Lepisosteus oculatus: one gene and its partners. The protein of the gene in region 2 interacts with the protein of the main gene of each other region in a biochemical or structural test. Links are inferred from orthologs where the notes say so. Each region holds a gene or a part of one and is shown on either strand. Other genes may lie near its edges.

What was found.
Region 1: of the proteins of wnk1b (region 2) and klhl3, one has a biochemical effect on the other in vitro, tested with the Homo sapiens proteins (2 studies listed by BioGRID). The link is inferred for Lepisosteus oculatus from reciprocal best matches to the Homo sapiens genes WNK1 and KLHL3.
Region 3: of the proteins of wnk1b (region 2) and oxsr1b, one has a biochemical effect on the other in vitro, tested with the Homo sapiens proteins (2 studies listed by BioGRID and IntAct, with this or other methods). The link is inferred for Lepisosteus oculatus from reciprocal best matches to the Homo sapiens genes WNK1 and OXSR1.

Annotation. Positions count from the first base shown.
Region 1 is NC_090706.1:38,766,560-38,776,583, reverse strand, and holds the start of klhl3 (kelch-like protein 3), read right to left. Parts: upstream 4,128-10,024; 5' UTR 4,007-4,127; intron 3,173-4,006; exon of another isoform or gene 3,109-3,172; 5' UTR 2,956-3,108; coding exon 2,942-2,955; intron 1-2,941. UniProt on the Homo sapiens protein: Substrate-specific adapter of a BCR (BTB-CUL3-RBX1) E3 ubiquitin ligase complex that acts as a regulator of ion transport in the distal nephron.
Region 2 is NC_090702.1:10,338,479-10,348,726, reverse strand, and holds the start of wnk1b (serine/threonine-protein kinase WNK1), read left to right. Parts: upstream 1-5,790; 5' UTR 5,791-5,856; intron 5,857-5,971; exon of another isoform or gene 5,972-6,746; intron 6,747-6,804; exon of another isoform or gene 6,805-7,037; intron 7,038-9,475; 5' UTR 9,476-9,873; coding exon 9,874-10,248. UniProt on the Homo sapiens protein: Serine/threonine-protein kinase component of the WNK1-SPAK/OSR1 kinase cascade, which acts as a key regulator of blood pressure and regulatory volume increase by promoting ion influx.
Region 3 is NC_090701.1:34,902,159-34,911,952, reverse strand, and holds the start of oxsr1b (serine/threonine-protein kinase OSR1b), read right to left. Parts: upstream 4,474-9,794; 5' UTR 3,897-4,473; coding exon 3,827-3,896; intron 1-3,826. UniProt on the Homo sapiens protein: Effector serine/threonine-protein kinase component of the WNK-SPAK/OSR1 kinase cascade, which is involved in various processes, such as ion transport, response to hypertonic stress and blood pressure.

The DNA of each region.
Region 1 (10,024 bases), on a different chromosome or scaffold from region 2:
GAAGATGAGAAGCGAGAGGAGGCCATTTGGCCCGTCTAACTGGTGACAGGATCTCATCCAGCTGTTGCGCAGAAGAGGCCAAGGCATCGGCTACAGCCATGTGGCTGTGCGCCTCCTTCCTCACTCCCACGGCTCTCTGGGAGAGACAGAGCCGCAGTTTTCAAAGCACTTCATGCTAATTTGCACTTGTCTCCCCTTGGTCTTCTCGTTAGTTTACTCAGGCATACGTCCAAACTGCCACACATTATTTATCGGAGGAAGAAAAGGTTGTGATTCAAACTATGTCACCCGTTAGCAACAACCCGACCGGACTGCCTGCAAGATCAAATCTTCTGCAGCTGTAGGACTTACAGTGCAAAACAAAAAAAAGAAGAAAGCTGTCAAAAAAAGCCGTCTCATTCTCCATGCTTTACTTGAATTTTTTAACCAAAAAAAAGTTATTTACGCATTCATCCAACTTCATTCTCATCCCTGAGACTGAAGCACATACACAACCTGTCTTGCTGTAGACAAAGTTTGACATCTCAGAAGTGCTGTCACTCATTTTACTTGTAGAAGGATTGCCCCAGAGGTCTTTAAGACCCTAACACAGCCCTCTTTTTCCTCATAACCAGCAGATCAATGTAAAAGATCCCCCATCTCCTGGAAAAACACATGCTGCATCTTGCTCATTTTCACATCACTCCTTATATTCGCTCTGCTGAATGACTTAAAACAGAGCCGCAGATTAGAGAACTCAAAAGAGAAATCTCTTTCTCTTTCCAAATGAAGATTCCTGAACAATTACCACCTTAAATCACAGTATTATTTCTTTTCCTATTCGCTGCCGATCGCTAACAACTGATTTCCTTACTGCTGGACATTAAACTACCAGTAAACAAAATTACAGATCAGTGAAGAGCACTTTTAGAGCAGCCTGTTTTGCAATGAGTTAATTTTTTTCTTCTTTTTCTGTTTGGCACGAGTCCGGTTTCCCTAGTGAAGCATACATAATTGTCTACTCAGAAAGGGTAAGAGGTGGACATTCCTTCTGGCTAAACATCTGGGTTCATCCACAGTTCCAAGACCCATCCCATGCTTACCGCCCAGCCCAATAGTGACTGTATAGTGCTATATTGCAAAGGGGAGAGCCACTACGCACTCAATACTGTACTTATTACGTTCCAAACCCTGACCCCAAAGCATATGACAGTAATGGTGTCATATGGTCTCATACAAGACTCCCACAGTGGACTGCAGAATTCACTTTTGACCCAGCCTGGCCCTGACATGAACAGTAAATTCAGGTCAATAGCTTACTTACTCAATCTACTCTGCCACCTGTAAAACACCAGGTTTAAGTACCCCCTTCAGAAATTCTAAAAAGCTTCTCAATGGCTAACAAACACCAACACAGCTATTACAAAAGTATCTCATCTACTTTCAATTGTAACTTTCAAGACTGAAATGAGTGCTGATTGTCAAAGACAGCAGGAGTTCACAAACTGACCACAGCAGGGCCTAACAAACTTCAATGCAAGGGAAATTAAGCCACTTTAAGGTTTTAGGAATTTGTACATGAAATAACAAAAGGCTGATCCTATGTTTACTGCCTTAGTTGGAGTATCTTTGCAAAGACAGCTGCAACTGAAGAGGAAGGGAAAAAAACCTCAGTTTCAAAGCTTTCTCAAAAACTACTCAGTTAAGAACAAAACTCCCTATGTCCGTCCATCCATGTTCTAACAGACTCATTCAATCCAGGATCGCAGGGAAGCTGGAACCTATCCCAGCATGCAACGGGTCCAAGGCAGGACAGAGGCCAGTCCATCACAAGACTCCTTATGTCCCATACACAATTAAAGGTACCAGTGAATTCGCTTTAATGGGTACTGTTGCAAGAGGGCAAATGTGATACCCGAAATGCTTTCAAATGAAGAACTACTACCAGAGTCCTTTGCGTCATGAAGAGGGGAAAGAGAACACTTGACTACAACAGGCAAGATTTTCTTCTCAATGGAAAAGTATACAATCATTTCTGCGATGTGGGAATAATGGATATAGGTTTTTTCAGCCAGCTTTAAAGAGAAATAAAGTCTGAATTGCAAGGGTTTCCCAGTAAACTTTAAAAATGTAAACCTTGTATAATTTCATCCAGTACTGCAGACGGAAAGGTCACAGATCTCAGGTCTGGCATGAGCCCTTGTCGAAATGTCACACTGGAGAAGCATCAGGAACACCGGCGTTACAAGCGCTCATACCGTGAATATTCATCCTTCTTAAAACGGCAAAAGCGAAGCTCGTGTTTTTCACGTGATCTCCATATTGAAAATGTATAAGCGATGTAACTCGTGATAAAAATAGTCAATTTGACGTTTTTAATAACCGTGCCTTATCTACTCCTTTTTAACGTTTCCTAACCAATAATTCTGCGCGTCAAAACACAGGTAATGTACAGGCACACCTGGCGAAAAAGAAAAATCACCCGTTCTAGTTTGGTCGGGCTCGCCACTAAACTTGAGCACGACATCCTGCCGTGCCGCCTGTAAACAATCCAAATCTTTCTTTCGGATTTGCACAGGGTCGAAAAAAAAGATCAACACCTCCCGCTCAGGCAGGAGGTGTCGACTGCAAGCAGTTGCGGTGGCCAGCCGTACGTTTCCGACCGGGGCTGTGCGTGGTCCTGGGACAGTTATCACTGGGCTCGGCTACACGGTAACACCTCATCACGTGTCCGAGCGAAACGTTGGGAGGTACCGGTACACCCCCACCTGCTGCTGCTGCTGCATGCCTGTACAGCACCGCCTCGCCGAGGAGCGGAAGACGGCAGAAATGCTGCCCCCCCCAAAAAAAAAACAAACAAACAAACGCGATGGCAGCGCACAGATTCGAGGGGGCTGAAGGCAGGGGCAGAGGGGTCTCAGTCCCGGCGCACGCAGGGGCACAGCGGCGAGGCAAAACTCACCCTGCATCTTCCATGGTTCCGGTCCTAGCGCATGGGTGCTGTCCGGCTGTCCGCTCACACCCTGCTGCTGCTGCTGCTCACGGCGAGAGCCGGGCGGGGGTCTGGCGCAGCGCCGCTCAGGGGTACAGGACGGACCAGCTCCCGAGTTCGCCAGCCCTCTTCCTCCGCTGCACAGCAGACCGGTGAATGAGAGGGAAGGACACACCTCCCCCCTCCCTCTCCTTGCTATTTTTTTCCCAGGTCTCCTTGCTCCAACCCCCCCTTTCTTTCCCTCTTCCACTCTCTGTGCGCGTGCGGACCCCCCGAGTGCGCGAGAGCGTCGCAGCCCCCCTCCTCCCCCCGAAAGACCCCCCGTGATCCATAACACGCTGTCATGAAACGGTCACCCCCAAAACCTGTATCGTTCGACAAAAAACGTGACACGGTGAAGACTGAGGCTGCTGTCGAAGCGCTGAAGAGCGCCGCCCCTTCCAGTGCGAGCCGACACTTAACACTGTGCAGTCTGAGCAGCCGAGCAACATGTGGGGGGGTTATAACTGAGCGTAACACAGAAGAGGTCAAACAAAACTGTCATGTATTTTAATATAGAGACATGGTATGTGAGAAAACATGCAATCGCCTTTCTGTGTATCTTTCTACAGCTGGCTGTGAACAGTCTTCATAGGACATGAGCAGCCTACTGCAGTATATCACGAATGATCTGCTATTGAGAAATGAACACGCTCGTAATTTTGTTTTATTGATTGTGCGACTACGTTATCACCATTGTTGATTGGTAACGTGGAATAGGCTGTTTTAACGCATCTTACTTTCACTGTCTCTCTTATGCAAAGCCAACAGCTGTAGGAAACCCGTGTCAATGGACAATGTAACACGAGAGTATGTCTCCTAAAACACGAGCGCAGTAATTTGTTTCTGCTGATCATGTGCTAAGTTATAAAATACAAATTGTCTTAACAGGCAAGCACATAAGCTTTCATTTTTTCCAGTCGAGCTTCTAGTTTCTTCTGCAATACAGTATGCAGTCTGAAAAATAAGCTATTTTTAGCTCTGCAATTTGGTTACCCGCAATTCTGGAACTAGACATTGTGATGACGATAGCCGGGCAGGCCTCGACAGGAGCGAGAACCTTCTTCACTGTTGGTCTTCGTCCTCACTTCCAATGTCTGGGGAGTGCTGATCCTGGGTTGTCGCATAAGGCCTTGGTATGATGATTTCTTACACATTTATATAGCACTTTTATGGATGCAACGGCAGACAGAGTGCACCAGCAGGATCAGCAATCAGGTGGGAGTGTGATGAAGCCAGGTCATAATTGGGGATTATTAGGTGGCTATGATTTGTAAAGACCAGGGGGGAATTTGGCCAGGACACTGGGGTCAACAGCCCTACTCTTTCTGATAAATGTCCTGGGATCCCTAATAACCAGTCAGGACCTTGGTTTTATGTTTTTTTTACACTGTAGCATCCCCTTCACTACCCTGGGGCATTAGGACCCACAAAGTTTCTAGGCCCCCCCGCATCTAGACCTGCTACTGAGTGTCCAATGAGAAAGGCCAACAGAAACACCGAAATCCCCCACCCCCCTCCTTATTTTGGTCGGACTATCAATGTACCGGACTCTCGAGCATTAGTGCTTTTCCAGAAGGATAAAACGGGGCACCTAAAGGCCCTCAGCCCCAGAGTGGAAGGGACTCAAGACCCAGGTTGGGACACTGCTGCTACTGTTAAATAAGGTGCCTTACGCCACACCGCTCCAACAGACCCAGCTGATTTGGAATCAATATCAGTATAGTAAAAACGACTGCTGACAACCAAATAGAGGAGCTTTGGAGCTTGCCTAATATGTGCAGGTGCTCCCACTTAACACGGGAGGAAGCTGGGCTATACTGCTCTTAAGATTGATCAATTACGGCACAATTTATCTGAGGTAACATGCATTGGCACCAGTTTAAACAACTGGGCACGTAACCGGGGCAATCTGAACAAACCCTCTTGCTCAGGGGTATGACACCCGTGTCCCACCTGCAATACGAACCCGGTCTTCTGGTTTCAAGTACGGAGCCACATTCACCACTCTTTTTCGGCCACAGTGGGGAAACAATCACAACATCACAATCGCACAGAGCTCGTTTCATAGCAACTAGAGTGTCCGGAATACACAGCCGACAGTAGTGTTTATAGACACTATTCCCAAAGGATTAAAAAGAATCTGGAAGCAACGGGGATGCAAACTCCATCAATTCCAGAAACTAGACATGCATTTATTGAAGGCAGGAAGGCAGGTACTCGTAGTGCTGGAGCCTTCGTGAATGAGCACCCAATCTGAAAGGTCTGAACAGGAGCAGTCACGAAAAGTACATTCAAATCTAAGTGCATAGTTCCAAGTATTCACTTCTCCCCTGCACAGTACAACCACCCTTAAGCTACACCCGAGTACTGCTCTGTAGACGGTAACTGTACCTGGAAGAAAAACATACAACAGCAGCTCGGAACACACAACTCCGAACCTTGGTAAGAGAAAGAGGACGGCACCGATACTCAAATACTTTTATTAAATATATATTTTTTTAAATCACAATATTTTTTTCCACCGCTTTTCGTTTTTTTTTTAAAAAGAGCGCCCATCAGTGATATTCCAGTCCGTGGATTCGTAGCCAAGTCTGCGTGACCTGTAAAACAGTCATCGCATGAGAGCTGCTCTGGGCAGCTGGCGGGGCACGCGGGGCAGCTCCGGGCAGCACACGGAGAGCACACGCCAACTTCACGCCAGCCAGCTGAGCTCCAGGATAGCCTCTGAGTGTAAAGAGAAAACAGTGTTAGAAAGAGTATCACACCTTAAACCCAACAATGATAAGAGGCTTCCCCCCAGTACGTATTAACTGAAGAAACAGCTTCTCGAATGTAAGAAGGAGATTAAGCTGATTGCTTTTATTGAATGCAGTAATTGCTCAAGCTGACACGACTCGTTTCAAACCCACTTTAAAGTAACTGCTGCCCCCGTGTGTTCCAAAAGTGAATACGTAAGGTGTCATCTTATGAAATTGGAAAATGAATTATTGCACATTTCCGCTGAATGGTGCTGTAACTTCAAATGATGGGTGAAGGTGACAAAACTCGTGTGTGCATTGATTTTTTTTTTAAATCTCGCACGTTTTTGGTTTTAAATGTTCCCTCCACGTTTATCAAAAACGCGTTTTAAGAGGTGGTCATGCTGTTCCGATTTATTAACCTTAATAAAAAGGCTTAACGTTTAAAGTAGCAAAGGAACATAAAACCTTCCTGAGGGATGGAACAAAATCAAAAAGCGAATATCTGCCGACGCGCAATGTTTTTAAAAGCCGTTTATAAGTGCCGAAAAGCACTCTTCTATCCCAATAAAAAGTGATGTGACCAAATCTCTCTCTACCGGAAAGACACCATTCAGTCGGTGTCCATGTTCAACGCGATAAGCGCTTCGGGACTACTATGCAACACGCTCTCAAAAAAAAAAAAACATTTCTCCCAAAAATACGGAGCCATAACCCTGAGGCTAACCCGCGGCCGATGAATGGCTGTTCATGAGCCCACGGCCAGACACAAGGGCGCGTCGCCAGAGCTGCAGAACAGGCCGCCGTGTCCGCCATAGCGGCGTTGCCATAGGAACCACGGTCTCCACGCACGGCTCTCCCGCTACGCAGCGCGGCGATTGCGGAAAGACACGTGACCATCGCTGCCCGACTTCGTCCGCCTCGGCCTGACAAAGCGCGCAAGAGTCACCGCCATCTGGTGTTTAAATAAAAGACTTCACCGCATCAGGGTAGGTAGTGGGCCAGTAAGCCCGAGTGCCTCCTCGCTTCCCCCCCGATCTCGACTTCCTGCCAAGCCCGACACCCCCCACTTCCGGCAGTCCCGTGCCACACGAGCCGCGCGCAGGAAAATATCCGGGTCCTCTCGCCCGTGACGTCACGCCCACTTCCCCTCCGCCATTTCCAGCTCTCCCGGCACCCCGTCGGCGCCGAAACGCGCCTTCTGCTGCCCTGCCTGTTCGCAGTCTCTCGCAGGCCCTGACAGTAAACGTGCGGTTCTTGTTGCCTCTTTTAATAGCAACTCGAGGAATGCGAGCACGTCGCTAATTCGCCAATGCTTTAGCGGACTGGAATGGATGCTCAGCAGCTGCTTCACACAAACGTGCACAGACATCTCTTTCAGCTTTGTGCGCAATCCAACAGCGTTAAAAATGAAACTGCTCACTTAGGAGTGTTCTCCTACCCACAGGAACTACTCGCAGCTTTTGTTTTAAGGAAAGGAAACTTCCAAAAAACGTCTGTGGACTCCTCTAAATGCAGGCTCGTCTGTTTTAACACATCACCCTCTTTCTGTTCAACCAGCACAAACCGGGATTTGGCCGCCTGGTGTGTTCAGAGGGTTGGTTGCAACAGCTGGTCCCACACGTGTCTGGCCCCCGGGAGTAATTCTGTCAGCTGTTATGTGCTGTGGCTAATAAAGCCCTTCAAATAAGCTCATCACCACCCCGCACAACCCAAAAGACCCCCAAGCACGAGCCCACTGGGAGCACTAAGAATAGGCGCAGGACGAACCGGCTGATTTGTGCAGGAATGAAATACGTGCACGCCAATTCCAGTCAACTAATGAGATGATGGAGGGCTGGAATACCAGAGGCCGTGGTTACCTTGTGCTCTGTTGCGTGCATTAAAATAACGTCAAGGACATCACAGGGTCTGGATTAGCACAGCTCAGAGGGTAAGGCTTTAGCCTGCATCGAGTTCCTACTCAAAAGTTCCCCTTAGATTCAGAGCTCTGTCTCGGGGATCTGCACCATTTTGTAATCGGTGCCATCTTTCACCCATCAGTGGTATGCATTTCCTCTGCGAGCACACATACATACCCCCCCCATCACATACAGGGGGGGAAATTTAGCACCTGCATACATCAGGGGACGCTGGCAGAAATGTCCTCCGAGATCCCAGGTACCTTAATTCAAGTCCCTCTGGACGAGTATGCCTGGGTTCTGAAATACCACACAGCGGATGTTTTCAGAGCGACGACCCCAATGAGTAAACAGGTCTGAGCGTGGGGGAGGGGAAGGGAACGGGTTATGGGGCGGAGCGGTGGCACTGTGGCTAAGGATCTGCGCCTGTGGCTGGAAGGTTGCCGGTTTGAATCCTACTCCGTTGGGCCCCCGAGCAAGGCCCTTCACCCCAGCTTCTCCAGGGCGCCGTATAAACGGCTGGCCCTGCGCTCTGACCCCAAGCTTCTCTCTCCCCGTCTGCGTGTCTCATGGAGAGCAGGTTGGGGTCTGCGAAAAAACAAATTCCCCATGCAAGAAATTGCATCTGGCCAATAAAGCGATCTGATCTAAAGGTCTAAAAGAAAACGCAGAAGCCCTGGGTCAGGAGCCAGTTTTCCAGCCCATCTGAAGACAAAACCCTCAGGCCACAAGCAGCTTCTCATTTGCAGATACGCTGAAACCCTGCGGGAACACTGGGACCCTGCGTGGGGAGACAGATGGCCCCACTGCGCATATGGACATGAGAGGAGGAGCCGAGGACGAACAAAAGAAGGAGGAGGGGGTGGGGAAGCAAATTGCCCGTCTTCTGTTGGGGTCGGTTCTGGGGAAAAAAGGCTAATTTCCATATCCGAATATCCCGGCTTCACGTGGGCACAAATGGATTTCGGGACTAACGAGAGTAGCAGCCACACCTCCTTGAAAGCCTACCATGGGAAGGGATTCCCAAAGGATGGTTTTGAGAGGGGGTGGCGGCGGCAGAATCCGAAATCGCTTCCCTTCTAAAAGAGTGCCAGACCGCCACACAGGAAGCCCCAGAGGAGTCAGGGTGAGGAACACTCTACTGCCTGCAGAAATCGCCCGGGACGGCAGGTTCAGAGCCTTAACATCTCACGAGAACACTTCCGTCCACAGCTCTTTTTTGGGGGGCAAAATTTGGCTGAATAAAGTGGTAGCAAGACACACAGCCTGACAGCTGTGACATCCATAGCATTCAAATATCTTCCAACATAGTTGGCGACCCAACGTACCAGTAGCTTAACTCCAGCGATGCCCAATCTCTTTACCCAAAGGGTTGTGGGAGTAGGTAACATACTACCCAGCCAGGCCGATACGTTGCCTTCCTTCAAGACAGCTGGATGAGATCCTTGATCAATTAGCTACCAACCTCCGAATGGGCTAGATGGGCCCAACGCTCAAAAGTGTGTAATGTGTAGCGGTCACAGCAAAGCAGGTACTAGTATCCGGGATACCCTTCCGAATGTATTGATTTCCCTTCTGAAAACTAAAACAAGAAGCCCTTGCTCACCTGATACAATGTGCTTCCCTTCTCCTTCCAAGATCAGGACCAGGCTCTTTGCGGATCCTGTTCAGTCGACGGTACTTTGGGAAAGGTAATTTAGGAAAGGGTTTCAAATTCCAGCATTACGCAGGCTGCGTTCTGGAATGAGGGGAAGGAAAAGAAAAAAAAAAAGATACCTTTAATGACTGGGCAGCTGTAATTCAGAACACACTAAGTCAAACACCAATACACCCTGAAGTCTTCTCAGTTAGGGAAGATGTGTTTTTGATTTGATCAAATCATAAAAAAAAACTTCCATCACAAATCCCTGGAAGGAATTTCTGAGTACTTTCTTATGGTTCTCACACTTATGCCTGTGATCCCAGGTACCAAAATTACCAGAACAAGCCCATAGATTTCATTAACTTCTTGCTTGATAACTGAATAATCACAACCCTAGAGCCTTTCTAAAAGGGTCCTTATGAGTAAGCATTCAGCAGAACACTATTAATTGTGCACACAGCTAAAAAGTTTAGTGCTTTCACCAATCAGGCAAATATTAAAACAAGGTATCGGGCAATTATATTAGAGATGTCAAAAAGACAAAGCCTCAATTGATAAAGAAATGCCAATTAGGAATTTAAAATACAGTGTGGCAAGACTATTCCCCTATCTGCTATCCCCAGCTTTGACTTTTAGGACATCGTGTTTTTCCAAGATCTTCCCAATCAAAATTTCAAAACACTATAACTTAAACCTTTTTAGGAATCACCTAGTTTTTTTTAAAAACAAA
Region 2 (10,248 bases):
AGCAACCTTAGTTCTTCCAAGGAGGTCTCTCATCCAGGTACTGACCAGGCTCACTCCTGCTGAGCTTCAGTGGGTTGCCAGTTGTGAGTTGCAGGGAGATATGACTGCTGGCTGTAATGCTATTCCCATGTGGTCATTGAAAATGTTATTGTATGCAAATTAGTCATAAATATTTTACAGAATTCTAAATTAACTTATAAACATTGTCAATTTTTGTACAAAAATTGAAACACTTATGTACATCACATTCTATAAACCAGAATTAATTTCCTTTTTAAATCTAAAAAGTGTGCCTTACTTCCCCTGAAGAGAAGATGGTTCGCTATACCTGTATGTGCTCTTTATTTATTTGAAGTCATAATTTGAATAAAGTCAAACACTGTTTTTAAAAGGGGTTGGAGTTTTATGGATATAATGAAGCAGAATTTACAGTTATCAGCCTATCTCCTCCTGTTTAACAGTTTATCACCTGATAAAAATGATAAAAAGAATGCATCATTCTTTGATTACTCTATAAATACAGAATGTAGTATATATGTTGCTTTAATAAATCATTGCTTTTCAGGTGTCAGATTTTATCTGTGGAGGAAAGTGCACTTTCCGAATGGGCCTAGGCATGTTCTTACTTTGATATTGTGATGTGTAAGCAAAGTGTCCAAATTCACTCCCACCTTAGACTTAAGGCATACTTTACTGTTGAGGCTTGTGCATTACTATAGATGGATTTCAGTGATAATGTGAGTTGGCATATGACATATCATACACCAAAAATGTGTACTCAGATTAGGCCCTGCCATTCTTGCCTCCAAGGCTTAGAAATTACTGTAAGACTAAATAAGGAAGGAAGGCTAATTTTTTTAGCTTTTCCTCCAACGTTTCCCTACATTAAATTATTCTCCCTATTTCTTCTCTGATGGCCTCAAGTTCACCCTAAATTTGAATATAATGTCATATTTTGAAACGTGGTCACTTAGATCACTTAGCATTCATGTTTATGTTCCAAAAAATGGCACTTCAATCTGATTTTTTGCCTGTAACGATGATCCTGGATGGAATCGTAAAGATCATCTGTGCAGAAAGTCATACTATCCAGCCAATCCTCCACTTAAATCTCTTTACAGGTAATGGGGACTCTCCTCCACTACCACCAATGCGCATGTTCCAATGTGCAATAATTTTGTTATACTTTGTTAAGTTCTGAGCATTGAATATGTCACAAGCCACAGAAGGACAGGGCTTTGGATAAAGAGTGAGAGAGTATTGGATAGTATTAGCAGCATAGAGAAAGGAGAACTCTTCCATGTACTAAAAGCACTCAAGAGTAATAAATACAAAGGGCCAAATGGTATCTTTCAAATAGTAGTCAAGGAAATGACAGAAACCACTGACGCATCTCTTCCAACAGTCTCACGCAGTCTCTTGGATACGGATACTGACCAGGGACTGGAGAATTAGAAACATGGGACTCATCCATAAAAAATGTAACTATAACTAAACCAAGTAATTACAGACATATACATACATGTAAAGAAATGGAAATTATCACAAGAACTAAACTAAATAATTACCTACATGGAATCACCTAGTGTATAACATATATGCTAGTAAATAGTCAGCATTTACTAAGTAAGTAAAAAGGAAAAGATAGGTCTTGCCTAACAAATGTGTTAGAGTTCTTTAAACAAGCAAGAACAGTAATGCATACATATAGGACTTAATACAAGGTGTATTTAGATATTTAGCTTTGTTGTAGTTAGATTTTTAGGCTTTTGATAATGTTCAACATAAATGATTAATTCTCAGATTGCAGGTGGTAGGCATTCAGGGAAACCCAACTGTTTGGATTGGGAATTGATTATTAAGTAGAAAACAAGGGGGTACAGATAAAATGTGAATAATCAATTTAGGATGATGTTATTATTGGTGTACCTCAGGGATTGGTTATCAGACCACTGTTCTTCTTAATTTATGTCAATGATCTAGATTCTACCAGTCAAATTAGGAGGATGAGCAAACATTGTAGAGGCAGAAAAAGACATTTTAAAAATACTTCAGTAAAATTCAAGAGTGGGCAGACACATAGCAAATGATGTTTAATGTCAGGTACTGCATGTGGTAGCTAGAATGTAAACTATAAATACAAAATGGGAAACAGTGAACTAGAAGAGGTACTTATGAAGAAGCCTTAGGTATTTGTATTGACAGATCACTTACATCTTCTTGGTAATATGGGAAAACAATTAAAAAGACAACTAACGTGATAGACATTTAAGTACTGTAAGTAGCTGTATCAGCATGCTTAGGCTGCAAAGGAACAAGTAAAGGTTTATTCCTGAATAAGGTTACAAGTGTTTCTTTTCTTCTCTTTTCAGCATGGAATAAATCTTTACTTGTTCCTAAAATTGTAGAATATTAAAAAGCATACAATATAAATAACAAGATGTTATGTTACTGCATGTAACACAGAACTGTGTGTCTGAACAGGGGCTCCTCAGGGGACAGTTCTTTCTCTGTTCCTCTTCACCCTCTATACTTCAGACTTTAAATACAACTCAGTTACTACTACTATTCATTGACTTCAGCTCAGCTTTTAACACTATCATTCCAGAGAAACTAGTCAAGAAACTCAGTGCACTGGGTCTCAACACCACCCTCTGCAACTGGATTCGGGACTTTCTGACAGAAAGACCTCAGGCTGTCAGGCTTGGAAACCACACCTCCTGCACACTAACTCTGAACACTGGGGTCCCCCAGGGGTGTGTGCTTAGTCCATTACTTTACTCCCTCTATACCCACTACTGTAAGGCCAAACATAACACCAACCCCATCATCAAGTTTGCTGATGACACCACAGTTGTAGGTCTGATCACAGACAATGATAAGAGGGCCTACAGGGAGGAGGTCAATCTCCTTACAACATGGTGTGAAGACAACAACCTCACCCTCAACGTCAGCAAAACCAAGGAGCTGATCGTTGATTTCATGAAACTGCAAAACGGACATGCCCCTATCCACATCAATGGGACTGAAGTGGAAAGGGTCATTAACTTCAAATTCCTTGGCATCCATATCACCGAGGACCTCATATGGTCTCTCAACGCCACCTGTCTGATCAAGAAAGCACAACAGTGCCTGTACTTCCTAAGACGGATGTCCACAGATCCTCACTAACTTTTACAGATGCACTGCAGAAAGTACACTGACAGGTTGCATCACAGTGTGGTTTGGCAACTGCAGTATTGCTGACCGCAAAGTCCTACAGCAGGTAGTGAAAACTGCCCAGTCCATCACTGGGGTTGAACTCCCATCTATACAGGACATTTATGACGGACGGTGCTTGAGGAAAGCTCTAAGCATCATCAAAGACCCCACACACCCCAGCTACAGAGTGTATTACCCTCCCATCTGGAAAACGGTATCGGAGCATTCGGGCCTGGACTACCAGACTCAGAGACAGTTTTTACCCCCGCACTATCAAACTCCCAGCCTCTCTCAAACTCACATCATCTCTCACCTATGATCTGAACCTCGCAGTGCCTTCTTTCTTACCAAAAACTCAAACACACATTGAAATCTACCTCTACCTTAGATGTTCAAAAAGCTCACTCCCCATAATTTCTATCCTTTTATTTCATTCTGTTGTTGCATGTTTTTGCACATCTGATGTTATTTTGCACATTAACTGTTACCTTTTGTTGTTTTGCACATTGGCTGTTGTTTTTGCACACTGCCTGTTGTCTCTGTCTTTCCTTCATTATACAATTGTATGGTTGTTATTTGGTAATATTTATCGTCTGAGAGCTAGCTAAATAGCATTTTGTTATACCATATACCTGTATATGAGTATAACAACAATAAACTTGAACTTGAACTTGAACTCAAAGTCATACCACCTGCAGAAGTTCTCAGATGACTCTGCAATTGTGGGATGTATCAAGGGTGGGCAGGAGGAAGATTACAGAGGACTGGTCAGCAGCTTTGTGGAGTGGTGTGGGGAGGACCACCTGCAATTGAATGTAACAAAGACCAAGGAACTGGTGGTAGATTTCAAGAGAAAAAGGGTCAAACCTACTCCTGTCTACATCCATGGGAGTGGTGTGGAGATGGTGGACTCGTACAAGTACCTGGGAGTGCACATCGACGATAGACTGGAATGGTCTAAGAACATAGAGACCACTTACAAGAAGGGTCAGAGCCGACTTTACTTCTTGAGGAGGCTCAGGTCCTTCAATGTGTGTAGTAAGATGCTACACAATGGTGAGCGCCATTTTCTATGTGGTGGTATGCTGGGGCTCTGGGATTAGAGCAGTGGATTCTAACAGGCTGAGCAAGCTCATCAGAAGAGCAAGCTCCGTCATTGGGTCTGGCCTGGACCCCCTGGAGGTAGTGGCTGACAGGAGAATGGTGTCTAAACTAGAGGCCATCATGGACAACGTCTCCCATCCCCTCTATGACTTTTTTGTAGAAATGAAGAGGATATTCAGCAATAGACTGATTCATCCATGGTGCGACAGGGAACGCTACAGGAGGTCATTCTTGCCTTCTGCCATAAGACTGTACAATGCATCCACCTTGCGTCTGGGCAGAGACAACATTGACAGTGACCTGTTTCTGGTCTGAACAGTAAACTGATACATCTGTTATTTTTTTTCTTTTCCCTTTTACAACCGTTTTTGGGCAATATATGCCAGGGACCTGTGCAATACATTTATATCTATATTTATATCATGCAAATTACTTTTTTGTATACTGTTCTGTTCTGGTTTGTTCTTTCTGTGTACTGGACTGTGAGTAACTCACTGTACTGATTGTATTGTATGTATTGTATAATTATTATTGTATCATTCGTTATACTGTTGCTGTGTTGTCTGTCTTAAGCTGCTGTTGCACTGCAATTTCCCTCATGGGATCAATAAAGTATCTATCTATATGTTATTGTTACAGCTTTAGGTGACTGAGAAGTGTCTCTTTCAAATCCTGTTTGTTAGAATGAAATGTCATATGTAAATATGTCAGTGTAATAAATAATATTTATTGAACAATATGAAATTGTATCCCATAAAGTATGCTGATTATAAGTACCAAACATTGTAATTATTTTATGAAAGTAGTTTAGGTGGGTAGCTGCGTCAGCATACTTAGGCTGCAAAGGAACAAGTAATAGGTTTATTCCATGTTAAAAAGAGAAGAAAGAAAACAAAACGTTTCGGCCATGGAGCCTTCTTCACCCTTCTTCCTCACACCTGAAGAAGGCTCCACTGCCGAAATGTTGTCTTTTATGAAAGTGTTGAATTGTGTGGTCTTTCTCAAGATAACAGGAACAATGGAAACAGTAATGGTATTGTAAATACCTCAATTAACTGTATTATATGTAAACCTCAGTATTCAAAAAAATAGTATAATCCACTACAACACTTTTTTAACTTGGAAAACTCGCTGTGTAAGTGTTTTATTATTTACCCTTTTCTTTCCACCCTATACAGAATATAATGCAACCAACAGCATATGAGCCTGCGATTAGTTGATTTTACCTTAATGTTGGTGGTTAACATTTGTTTACTGTATTTCCTAACTATAGGGTGTTGAGCACTGGGTAGTTTAACTACATTTCCCAAAACCCTTTAGTTTACAGAAAATATTTGACCGTTAAAAACTTGGATGTCTCCGCGCGGGTTTTACAGATGCATCTTGGGAATTGAAGTCTATCATCGGCTAACAACCAGGAAGCTTTGTCTAATCGAATAGAAAGACTACAAAATCGATGAGCTCATCGCTTCGTTGCGCAGACGTGGTGAAGATTTTTTAAGCTCGGTATGTGGATCTATAGGAGGGGGAAGGTCCTTGTCGGATTTTGAGGTAAAGTCGCCATTTAGTAAAAACTAGTTTGCAGAAAATAGCGTACATTGGGAGTAAAATTCTGATTATAGACTAAAATAATATTTCGCATTATGTTGATATTCATTAATAAAATGCTTGTTTTTATTTTCCTTGTTACTGAATGTTCAAGCTGAAAACGCAAACTCATTTTGGTTGTGCTGGGGGATGCGGTAATAGCGCAGCAATTTATGTAAACTTTTTTAATGTGCTTTTTCGTGTACACCCTGGCGCTCTGAGCGGAATCTGGAATGACACTGCAATAACTTTATAAGTATTTTATACTTTCATCTTTTAATTATTTAAAGTCATGGATGCGGTGCGCAGGGGGAAGTTTTAAATCACAGGGTTTTGGGAGGGTTTCAGACTCCCTGTGCTCCACATAAAGGGGCTTATCCCACCCGAACTACGCTTTAGTCAGTCTTGCTATGCTCTGCTGTGTGAAGGGAGTAGAAAGAGGTGATTTCCCAGGCCGGAGAGAGACGAGGCCTGGCGGCCGGATTGTGGCACAGAAATCGAAGGCAAGCTAATTTTTCGAATAGTTAATGATAAGTTGTTAAAAATCAGATATCGGTCATATCTCTGTCAATCTTGAGCATGGAAGGCTCCCAGTCGCTTACGTGCAAATAAAAAGGAATACGCAGATGGAGACTGGGCACTGACACTCTTGGTGCGTTAGGAAAACAAAGACACTCCTCCATGCCCTGATGTTTTACGAAATTGCTCGGGCCGACATTCGACCTGGATTCACCGTGCTCTTTAAAAACCCTAGCGACCAAGAAAACGGAAAAGCAGGAGACTCGTGAATCGGTGAAAATCCAGGTCAACCGGCGGGGAACACTCCAATGAGCCATGTAAATCGTCTAGTCCAGGTTCGTTGTGCACGCTGCAGTCAACGAGCGAAGATACTATTTTTTTTACATTTTAACTTAAACTTTTGGCAGGGTTTGGTTGGTTAAACTATATCCACGTTCAGGATGGGTTTTGTACGTTGTTAGGCTGGTTAAGCGAAGACTCGGCAGCCTTTCAATAACTCCGGATTCACATCTGAAATAGCATCTTGCGCGGTGCTCCAAGTTCAATTCTCTCCGGGGTTTTGCCGGTGTGATTGCTTTCAGACTGACAATCCGATGTGAAGAAATGTGGCTTTGACTAGGCTTTAGGTAAGCAGGTACCTCCGATATACTGCCTCCCATTAGGACGTTGTGGCAAACCTTTCCGGTACGTGAGGGATGGCAAAATAGTGATTTACTTGAATCCCGTAGAGATTAGGGGTATAATATGGTATTCAATGTAAGATTTTTTTCTTCTGTGTGTATACTGTATGCAATTTATTGTTCTTAAAATGCTTTTAATTTATGGCCTTGATTTGACACTGCATCATATAATGTCGCTTGTTTAAAGCGACATTACTTCGTTTTAGCATGTGCGTTCCGAGTGCTTACAATGAGGTTCTTAACATAAAACTATTTTTAATAATACATTTGCTTTGGCAGCCTACATTGTTTTGTGCACTAGGTTTTAAACTGTATTGGAGACAGCGTTGTGCATTGAGATAATCCTGTTTTAGGTCAGCCGTGGGTCTTGAGTAGGCCAGGCCAACCCAGCCTGGTTGGTGCCAATGCTATGCAAATGGCCTAGCGAACAGTATGAACAAACTTTTTTTTGGGTTGTCTGTGACCCAAATCTATAAACAGTCCTATGAAGAGGTTAATTTGGTGTCAGTTGTTAGTTGTAGGTTATAAAACATTTTTCTGTATTTGTTCCTTTCCATTGCAGAATCAGAACGCAAAAGGGTATTTTCCTGGCTGTTTTGAAACGTTAAATGTAACTTTAAATGATTTTCGAATTCGGTCACTTAATTATTAGTGCATCAAAGGCGATCGAGCTGACAACTTGCTCATGACGTTTTGTCCTTAATCCTTTAGCTGACAGAATTGAGGAACAGTCTCACTTCATAGCGTCTGTGTTAGTTGCTGGTTTGGCGATTTGACACTACGTTTTAAGTGTTTAAAATGAATGACGCAGTATTCAAGATGAACTCCGCATACAATGGAGTGAAAACTGTATATATATTTTTCATCATATTAATGTCTTTGTGGTTAAAATCTATATAAGAGTCCGGAAAGGGAGGAAATGAATTATGAAAGTCATACGAGGGAGTTATAGGAGTTAACTTCAGCAGCGTGATATTTATTATAGGAATTCATCAATATGAGTGGTATGGCTTCCCCATGTACAGTACTTTCAATGTAGCCAACAATGTATTGACTGAAAACCGGTTTAGTACTGTTCTACAATATGTATTTGTTATATTTATTAATAAGTGTTAAAACTGGGAAAATGCAGAGCTCTTTTTGTTCAAGAGTGAAGGTGACAGCCTAATATTATTAACAACTGTTACAGCAATTTTTTCCAAAACTATTTAGTGATGTGAGAATTCATGGACTTCATTGTACAAGATTTTTAATGGAGTATCAGTGTAATGTTCTTAGTGTCATTTAAGTGTTAAGATGGATAGAATATTTTGAAGTGGTTAACTTTTCAAAGTTGGTGTTAAATTGTAAATATTATTACCCTTCTTATTTAGTATTATTACTTAATTTAGGTGGATTTAATCTGAGCACTGAACTCTCGTTAGCCTAGGGTGGGAGATGAGCATCTTTTCTCTATTTTTTTCTTAAAATATTCATACCTGTTATTTTTAAGTATCAGATTAGATTGATTTACTGCCTGTGGGCTGCAAAAATTTGGAAACGGTTTATGTACTTAAAAACATTCTTTCTGTGGTTAAAAATTATGCATCATCATCAGCACAACGTTTTCCCTCTAGCATTGATTTTTTTTGTATTTTTGCTTTTCCACATGATTGAAATAGCACAAAAACAAACTTTCAGTACAGCTGAGAGCAAGTTGTTTATAGGGGATACTAACTTCATGCCCCATATATTGGGAAAAGCTGCAGGGTCTCATGGTAATCATAAGATAGTTGGCGACTTAAAAGATTTTAAAAAAAATCCTGTTTGCTCTCTCGGATAACTTAGTTTGCTACATGTGAGGTGTGGCAGATTGACAGTTAGAATGAAATCGCACAGAAGTATGAAATATTTTCCTAGTGAAATTGTTTAAATCACCATGTTACTCAAACTTCCAAATACTGAGAATGTGGGACAGGAAATGTCATCATGCTCATATTGGAAAACAATACTTTGTATATAACCATGGCTGGAGTGTTTCGGTTCTTCATGTTGACTGTTGACCCATTTTCTGTGTACTTGTATATTGTAAGCAGGGAAAATGTAGCAATATTGTGTGTACTTTTAACATTGAAGTAACATCTTAAGTAACTTGAAGCATGTTCCTGTACAAGTTAAGATTTAGTAACATTAGCATGTAGTTGGAGATTGTGAGCGTTGTGGACACATAGTCCAAGAACCTCTCTTTACTATTGCTGAAGGGTTAAATCCAGGATATTCATACTAATTTCCAAGGACATCTTTGAGTGAAAAGAACATGACAACCAAATGAATAGAGCATGTTAACACTTAAGGAAAATGAAAATGTAAGTTTGGGTGTGCAGTTATTTTTTTTTCTTTTGCAGTTCAAGTCTGTGAGGATCAAGCTTTGGATTACACCTGGTTTTTGCTACAGAGACTACAAGCAAGAACACCACCACCCCTTCCTTTTTCTGCTCAATGCCGACTATCTGTGGTTCCCTTTCAGGATGGATTGTGTGAATCTGATGGTCATTGTGTGTTTACATCAGCATTTAATTTTCTGTGACATTATCTTGTTCTTTTTCATTTACAAGAGAACACCCCCTCTCCAAGGCCCTGACCCTTTACACTGTAAAATTCTTAGCTTTCATTGCTAATTTGTTAAAAGAGAGACTCCTTTAAGCTCCAAAGGCTTAAAACCAAATTTGACAGGAAGAGGCATTTGCAAGGAAAACCTTTTTTTTGGCAACTTTTGTTTGTGTTTTTTATTTGGGCAAATACAATGTCGGAAGACCCAGATAAAGTAGTGACGTTTTTGGCTCCTCCAAAAAATGGCAATGGTTCCAGTTCAGACACATTGGTGGGTGAGAAGCTGAATAGCAGGCATGAGGTTGAGTTCAGAAAACGGAGACATACCATGGACAAGGACAGCAAGACCACGGCAGAGCACCGCTTCTTTCGTAGGAGTGTCATTTGTGACTCCAATGCAACGGCTCTGGACCTACCCAGTAAAGCCTGCTTTATGTCCTCTCCTCCTGATTTGGATCCACTGTCCATCCTCATAGCAGAGCCCAATGATAACTCCTTTGTGGCTGTTCAGCCTCTATGCATGATGTCAGTGGAGTCGGTTACTGATACACTCACCAAGGTCAATGTA
Region 3 (9,794 bases), on a different chromosome or scaffold from region 2:
TTTACTAAGCAATGTCACAAATAAATCCAAACCAGTTTCAGCAGGAGTGATGAATAAAGCAGAGCTTTTTAATGGACAGAGAAGGAACACACTGCCTTGTAGTCTTTCGACAGCCAGTCAGATCTTCCTGAGCGATTCCCAGAGTGATTACCCTGGTGAATACAATCCCTCAGTCATAAAAGCAAACACTGCAGTCCAAAGTTTAGGGATATTCTTAGATTCCTTCTATGAATTGTACAGGTATTCACAGATACAAAAGAGAGTGACATCAATTACTTTACGGAACAAAAACTGTGCCTAATGGCTCCTTGGATACAGTCAAACATTCAGAAAATTGAAAAGGTGGGGGAATTCTTTATTACCTGTCACCTGAGTTTTTGTGTTATGGCAGTATTTAAGTATTATGGATTCTTTATAATTTGTAAAAAAAAAATTAATATGGCTCCTAACAAAGGAATGGCTTCACCAAGTTTTTTTATAAAAGCATAGTTATTTTGTTTTCGGTTTTCAACATTATGGAAATAACTGCCAGAAATACTAAAACACCACCACTTAGTTTACATTACAAACAGCGTATCTGCAATCATTGGACCATAACCATGTTATCGCAATGCTTGAGGTTAGATGACATTTTTTTCCAAATAACCTGTTTCGACATGGCCCTTTAAAGGAAACAGATTTGTTAGATATTGTGAAGGAATCCATTATTTAATGCAAGAAATCACCAGCTTGGTAAATTTGAAATTAACTGGTTTCACCACTGAAGTTTGCTCATCTAAAATTTAAAAAAGTAAACTTGCTATAAATGAGATGAAACATACTTAACTAGTGGTTAGCCGTCACTTATTTTTACATGAATTATTACAAAACAGGTTACCTCATCACAGACTAACAAATAAGATATGTTCATAAAATTGATCAACGCTATCAATATACTGAAAACCAGCACTTTCGGAAGATCTTAGTTTGTCAGCCATATTGGGTCAAAGGTCAAGGTGACCTCACACATTTACTCAGAAATTTCTTGTAATTTACCAACTGACAATTCAGTAGTTTCCTTATTTTAGCCGCTTTGATAGCTCCTATTTTTGTCAGAAACACCTATGAATAGATCGTTGTTGGGCAAGACTGCCAAAATAAAAATGTAATTCAGGTGAGTAGCTGCGTCAGCATGCGTAAGCTGCAAAGGAACAAGTAATAGGTTTATTCCATGCTAAAAAAAGACGGAATAAACCAATTACTTGTTCCTTTGCAGCATAAAAATGTGTCAATGTTAATTTCCACATACTCTATTCTACTTTTACCGTACAAATATTTGAATAATTTTCCATCTGACCAATAATATAGCTTATACTGTACTGTTAGAGGATATGTGCATTCTTTAGATAATGCACGTGCACAATAAAGCAGAGAACAGCATTCATCACTGTTTAGACTACAACAGAGAAACTTTAAAAGTATTTTTTTTAATAACATTAATAACTTGCCTTACTTTTTAGCCACAATCCTGTTTGTACCCATTTATATAGCTGGGCATTGTAGTGAAGCAATAGGAATGAAGTACATTTCTGAAGGTCACAATAGCAATACTCCATTCAGAACTCAAACATATTGCTGTGTTCTTGGCACTGCACTTGAAGCATGTGCAAGATATTCTTGCACGGTGTCTCTTATCAACCAAAAAGTTTAATATCAGGATACAACTATTTATTTTATTTTATTTCTTGACAAGATATGCTCATCGGGTTCATGACCGAGATGGTACAGTAAGCAAGACAAAAAGGGCATCAGAAGACGTCCACAGACTGGCAGACCTACTAACCTACAGGAAGGCTGATAGAATGATACAATGAGAAAAATGGGGAAGTTAGGGGAATGTAACAAGGAAAACAGACTGCAAACACTAAATCTACAAGATAAATTGCATATTCTTTTGAACATAACATCCATTGGGCTAAATCATTCTCTCTCAGCTTCTGTTTGCACCCCATTTTTTATTTAAGCTTCAGCCACAATTATGGTATTCAAATCTCAAAGATCAGTTTCAACACAACAATGGTAGCCTTTTATCATATCATTGGAGGTGAAGTGGACGGAATACAAAACACCCTTCTTTACAAAGGGCCGGGTTTGTTCAGGGCCTGTACGTTTTAAAAAAAAAATCAGTAAAGGTTCAAGAACTGCAAGACACTGTCAGTGACAGAGCAGAACGACTGAACAGCATAACATTGAGATATGCTGTTTAAAAGCAAGGAGTAACCAGCTCAAAACAAAGAAAAAGTTTAAAAAAAACTCACAAATGTAGTTAAATGCATTAGTGCCCTATGCCCCATGTGAACTTGCAGTTACAGTAAGTTAACACCAAATGTCCTTGTAATGGTGCTATACAAAAAAAAGGGTGTGGAGATGAGCTGTCGCCTACAACACCGAAAAGGAGGTGGAGACCCCAAACACTATCCAAGGCGCACGTTGGGAAAACGGTGAAAACACATCTGTAGTCCGCGATCTCTGAATGCGTATTTAGACCGGAATTTTAACTTGATTCTGTGCACCTAACTGGCAGGTTGTGGGTTCAAATCGCAGGCGTGGCATTGTTTTTGTACCTTTGAAAAAGCAGCTTGCTTTAGCAAAACGTATACGTAGACACAAATGAAGCCGCTTTGAATAAAAGCCTGAATTTTAAACATCGCCAATTGAAATACCTACTGCATAAAAGGCATGTTGCTCAATTTCTGCATTACCACTTTGACATTTTCTAATGAAAATCACAATTATGCCAGAAAAATACCCCCTAAATCTCCGATTAGACGAAAACGAGAGGTTTCGTATCGTACTGAGTGGATGAACAGCATTTGAAAGACGGGAGTACAAATTAAATGTTATGATCAGTTTATGAAGTAAAAAGCTTGACATTCCAACTACAGTTGTCAACATGTTATAATATACACTTGATGTTTCATTTACAATATCCTCCCTCACTCGAGGTTAGTACTCAGGGATAGAAAACGACACTGGTGTTAAAATACTAGGCGGAAAAGTTGCAGTACTGTTTAACTTGCTTAACTATCCTTGTCCGCCGAAAAATAATTTGTCCATCGACGCATTTACTGGGAAGCCAGACACAACTTTGAAAAGAAGAAATGAGCAATGACAATTATCTCAGGTTAAAAATAAACCTTCGCAATCTTAAAAGATACAAGCCGAGGACACAAAAATACAGCGTAAAACTACAGAGGCGACAGACGAGTATGCGTGAGGGGTTATGTCTAAACGGGTTCAGTCTCGGTGTGTATGCCCGCAGTTCCGTCGATAATGTCCTTTCACATAGAAATGTCACAAGACAAGGAGAAGTCGACCAACTCCAGCCGCCCGGGCGATGTATAGTCGAGCCTGGGGCCTGGGGCTCCGGCGGCGTGTTTGCACGGAGCACCACCCACTTTGACACAGTGACAGCCCGCGACCCCTGTGGCTGGACCCGCAGCTCAGCCCCGCCGGCGGCGGCGAGGGCGCAACTGAGCCGCACCGCAACACACTGAAGGGAGGCGTGTAACTTCAACACATTCTCCGACGCAACACAATGAATGGCCACGCAGCTCACAAATGCGATGCACTGTTTACTGCAATACAGCAAAGACTTCCTAGTTACAGTCACGGCAAATACAGCCCTTCCCTGTCTGTCAACGTTAGCCATCGGTAGTCGCTATTATCGTTTCCTTAGGGAGCTGCTAATAGTACTGCAGCTGTTAACAAAAGAGATGAATTGTTCGACGCGTCACTATAATTGCAGGAAAGGCACTGGCAGCACTAGCTTTGACGATTTACTCACCAATCACCTCTTGTAGCTCATAATCATCTTTGTTGATGGACCAAGGTAGAGAGCTCAGGTCCTCGGACATGACTACAGCTGCTGTTGAAAAGGCCGCGCTGTGCAGACAGTGTATCGAACCTCAGGCCTGTGATGTTTAGTATTCTTGGAAATAAAAAATAACGTTCAAATTTCAAAGCAGACCCGCAACGCCACTTCCCTCACTTGCAATCTTTCACAGGTCCTACTATCATTCCCAAACTTTGCCACTAGCTGCACACACCCCGCCCACCACGTTCCTGGCGGCGCTCACAGGAAGAGCCGGAGGGCGGCCATCTTGTGTGTGGCAAAATGACAGGCGAATGACAATGCAGCACTAATTCGTTCAATTGTTAATGAATCGCTTTTTTGGAGGGTCCAAATTGTCCAGAATTATTTTTCCTTCATGTCAAATAACGCAAGGCATGCAAACTTATTATTACCCTTTCAACTAGGAAAGCTGTCAGATGGATACCTAGCATGAAAAATTACAACAAATCACCCTGTACGTTTTATACCCTTTAGTTTCTAACAGCCGGTACTTCCAACGTTAAACAATCTGCGAGCTATGCTCTGGCCATGAGGAGCTATTTCCAGCCACAACATTGATGGTAGAAGCTATCCTCCCGAAGAAATCGAATATATTATTTTGGTCTGTGCACATAGTGGTTTTCTATTGGGCAAAATTAAAAATGAACCCTTGCTGATTGGTCACTACTACAGTCAGTCAAATCAAAACATCCTGTGTGCGCCCCTTGCTTTGATACCTCCTCCTTCATTCAGTGATTTAGAAAGACGGCAGTGCCATCGGTTGTTGAGTGATCACTGAGTCACAGCAATTAAATATCATCCTACCTTTGCCAGCGCCGTGTCCACGCTACTTCGTTCTCCGTACACCATACTGTCCGTAATTTAGGGAGGTGTGACCCATTTGAAGACAATATACATGTGTTTGGACTATTTTAAATTGTTTTAAAAAATTGAATTTTACATTAGGCTTAGTTCCTTGTCATAAATATTTAAATATTAAAGTATTAAGTTCAATTAAGTATGGCATAATGCGTTTTGCCAAAACATGTTTAATGCTTCTTATATGAAGTGGAATCAAGGCGAATTTATATGTGACCGAATTAATAATTTTCCTTGAAGTTATGTGCGAGTCACCTGTGATTTAACAGGAATACGCCTTAATGAATAGATTGTTCCTTTAAATACTCAGAATAAGTAATTTACCGGAATTGTATATTAATGTATGACAATTGCCATGACTCTTGACAATTGCCAAAGCATCCATCCATTCTCTAACTGCCTCTTCCAGTGTAGGGTCGCAAGGGAGATGGTACCCATCCCACCATGCACTGGACACAAGGCTGGGTAGCCCCTGAACAAGACATCACTCCATCACAGGTCAAACAGAAACACAAATACAGACATACACAATCACAGCTTCGGATTCCCAGAAGCCAATGAACCTAAAAGGTATGTTTACATTTTAGACTATGAGAAGAAACCCACGCAAACATGGGTAAAACATAAACTCTACTCATAGCACCCAAGGTCTGGAAGTGAGCCAGGGGCCCAAGCATAGCGAGGCAACAATGCCACCCACTGCATCAATGTGCCACCCATTGCCAAACTATTATTATTATTATTATTATTATTATTATTATTATTATTATTACCATATGGTATAAAGCAGTTTGGTATAAACGAGTTTGAATCTAATGTATACTTGTTTTCATTTCTTTATGCTTGGGAGCTTTTTTCTATCAGAACATTTTAGAATGTTCTAGGCTAAATATGTTTTCAGTGGATTCATGTAATTTTCCCTGTTTTTTATGTGATAATTTGACAACCTTTTCCCGGAGAAGGAGTTAGCCTTCCAGGGATGTTTAACTGCTATTAACATGGAGAAAGGGGGTTTTCTGAGGGTGGGGCACTGTGGTGTCTTGTGAATTGTCATTCGTTGTACACATACAGTATGTATCAAGTCTGTGTCCATTATGAGATTGGGGAATAAAATCTACAGACTCATGTGGGAAGAACATGGACTACACAATAGTATTACATAATACATAGATTCCAAATACATTATTAACATCTAGTACCAAACAACAATGTAACAATTTATGGCTCTGGGAGGTCCTTACATCAGACACCATTCCACAGCTTTGATCTACAAGTCCATGATGCACCAGTTCCGAGTCTCATCATTTGCAAGAAATACGAACAAGTAGCTGACTCCCATCTTTATTTCAAGGAATGGCTATATAAGATGTTTGGATAAATCAGTTCTTAACTCCCAAATGAGCTAAATGGGCTGACCGGCCTCCTTTTGTTTGAAACCAAAGTTTGCTCTCAAAATCAAAAATCTTCAAACAATCCCAGCCTTCTGCCTAACTGCTGCCGTTGTGTTCACCCACCTGATAAACCAGTTTTGACTCACCTTTCCTGAGCACTTTGTTCCAGAAGTCTTGTTATTCAGGCGGGTGCTGTTTCACAAACTTTGGCCACGCAGCAGTGTTCTCCTTGGAGAGCAGGGGTTTCCTCTTGACTTTCTTGGTCCTTCCATGTAAGCCAGTGTTATTCTGTCTTGTCCTAATGGTGGACTCATGATCTCTCTCATTTACCATAGCGAGAGAGGCCAGTAGAATGAAACCTTAGGGTTCTTTTTAGACTTTTGGGAGCATCATACTGTAGGTCAGATCTTTAATAAAATTCGACAGGGCAGCAACTCCTGGGTAGATTGGCATCAGTCTTGAATTTTCGAAATTTCTGGATTATCTTTCTAGAAAGATGGACTTCCCAGTGTTTGGAAATGGCATTGTAACCCTTCGCAGGCTGTTAAGCAGCAACAGTTCTTTCTCTAAGACACTGTCACTGGTTTATTTTGTTCTGCGCACAATGTGTTACCACTAACCTGAGTGCTTACTACTAAACTGAGAATGTGTATGATTTTCTATATGGGCAAAATCACATCTTAATGATCAACTAATCATTCGTACATGTTTTATTCCACCTGTTTATTGCGGTGGTAGAACTTACATTTTCACACAAACATATCGAATGCTGTTTCATTGTTTAAATAAACAATGACAAAGTAGAATTTGTTTGTGCTATTTGTCAGCTGAGGTGCATTTTATCTGCTATTAGGATTTGGTGAGGACTAGGTGAGGGTCAAATATGTCTAAATATATTAAACCTTTTGTAATTTTATAAAACCTTAAGGGGTCCTAGTTTTTCACATTATATATCTCATTCTAATCTGAAAACTGAACAGATGGTCTAAAATGGATCCCTGTGATATGCCACTGCTTAATTACAGTTATTAGTTTTAGGGATGAATTTGTTGAAAACCTTTACATTATCTTTTTGAAGTACGACCATCCTCATTGTATAGCAGGCACAAGTACAGGTTTTCAAACTGAAAGGTTTGAAAGAAGAAAACCAAGGTTAGAACTACAGTTTGGATTTTTCTTCGGTTTTGTTTGATCTTCTTCCCATATATTTTCAACATGGAATTAACCTTACAGTTCACACACTGATACAGCTCCCCACTCTTTTTTCTGTTGTCTCTCAGTCCATCTGTTTCCAATTCACTGCCTGCAAACTTTGCCTCATTCATTCTTAATCTGGTTTTATAAAAATGTAAACCCAATTTTTAGACGCAGCCTTTAAAGGGTTCCATTACACAGAAAAGCTTACCATGCTGTTGCATAATGGACCGTAGCCAAATGTTTTAATTTCCAACAAACCACCTTAGAGTTGTATCTTTTAAGTAGAACATTCTGGAAGCTTTAAGGAAATGTAAATTTACCATATAATTGTTCAGAGAATATAGTGATTTAGTAATGTTTGATTAGCTTTTTTTAAAGGTTTCTGCCCCTTATAATAATATTACAATATTAATAATCTTTTAATCCCGAGTACAGTCTTCAATACTTCATTAGTTCTTTAAGTAAAATTTGCCATTGTTAAATCTACAGTTAGTTGTGATTAGATCACCACTGCGTTTTGTTAAATTTGAGTTCCTCTAGTACTTGTATTATTTTCCTCTCTGTAATGTTCAAGTCTACAGTTTTTTGTGATTTAAAAACCAAACAAAAAATAAAACATTCTGTACTTTTCCGTTATGTATTTTCAAATCACCTCTTCTTTATAGGGTGTTACCTTCATGCTATTTATTCCTGGAAAATAATTTTCAGAATTTGAAAACGTTTATCACTAAACCAGCACTCTGGGCTCCCTGTCAAATCTCACTCGCATGAAAGTAACACTTCTAAAAAACAGGTGCTCTTAATTCTGTCGAACTGGCAACACTATAAAGTCTGTTAGGAAATACTGTTTTCAGATGCTGATAGTTTAGTCTGATCACAAACCAGTGAACCTACACAGCACCAGCACCTGTAGAAAGAGAAAATTAGGTAGAGGATCTCTGTTCTCATTCCCAGAAACTGAAGAAAAAATGTTACTCTATTATAATAGATTCTGTATACAGTAGATAATTCTCTTTCTCTTGCACACTTAAAATTCAGGACTGCACATTCCAGCAGATATTTTTAATTAAGATGGCCTTTTGCTCAGTCCACGATTTCCAATCTCATTATAAACTAATGGGTCATCTTGTTTAATTTGAGTCTCACTTCTTCAACATGTGCCGTGGTCCTTCATGAGGGTTGGTTTATCTGAAAAACCAATGCATAATCTGCTGGCGTTTTAGAGGTGAAACAGAAGTATTGGCTTAATCTGTTTCTTTTTACATAACCTCTTACCAGATGTTACTGTTTGGAATAGTGATTTGAATGTTCTAGACATTTCCTGGGACACTGTACTGTATTTTTGTCATCCAACTTGTTCACTTATAGCAAATGTTCCTCACAGAGAATACTTGACCTCTCATGTGATGCTATTATATGAAGTTAGTGCCTTGTGTAAACTTTGTCTAGGGGACACAATGGACTCCTTTCTGCATATGTTTTGGCATTGTCTTGGGGTGGTTATATTTCAGAAGGCTAAGCGCCATAAATGGTTGTGGCATAAATGAACTACAGTATAACATGCAAAATCACATGATTTTGGTGCTGGTCGTTTCTGTAGGGAATACATATGTAAAATATCCAGACAACATTTTTCCCTTTGATCTTCAAATTTTCTACAATAAATGTATTGTTACTGTATCCTTTACAAATTTTTTGGTGTTCTTTTTTACAAGTTTTAATGTATGCAGTACTTATAAAATCTGTTTTGTATTCATGTGATCCCCTTATCCAAATTACTTTCTAATTCTCTCAGCCTTGTTCTTTTTTGACTTGCCTTTGTACAGCTGCTCAGTTTACTGTCCATGACTTTACAGACGTTTTTGTAGTTATTTTTTCTGTAGTTAACACAGTTCACCAACAGGAGGTTTTTCCTGCAAGCTCCAACTCTGCCAATAACAAAGATCCTGTTGTTTTTGTCCCTTTAAAAGCATTTGTTGATGCAACCCATTATCTCTAAACTATGCAAATGAATTAATTAGCTAAGTGGTTTACTATCTTACTAAGAAACAATGATATATACAGTAGGTCTTATTTGGTTTATTTACAGGAGTATGTACCCATAACTAACCCATTAACTGTTAAAAAGTGCTTGCCCTTTCTCTTGAGGAAGCAGGTTACATGATTGAAATTCCTAACAAATAGATGTGGATCTAGGTGCCTCAGGCATAAATTGAAATATGATGTGCAGAACATTCCTAGATTTCTGCTATACTAATACAGTATTGGCAAACAGCCACCATACCGCTGGGAATAGGGTCTAGGGAAAAGGAGCTGGAATTCAGTGCAATTGTCCTGAAGAAGAGATTCTATTTCACATTCTTTTCACTTTCCTGTAATACCACTACAGTTTCACACTCTTGGTGAAACCATTCAAGACTCAACCTCATTTTATAATGCATCAGTAGTGCTTC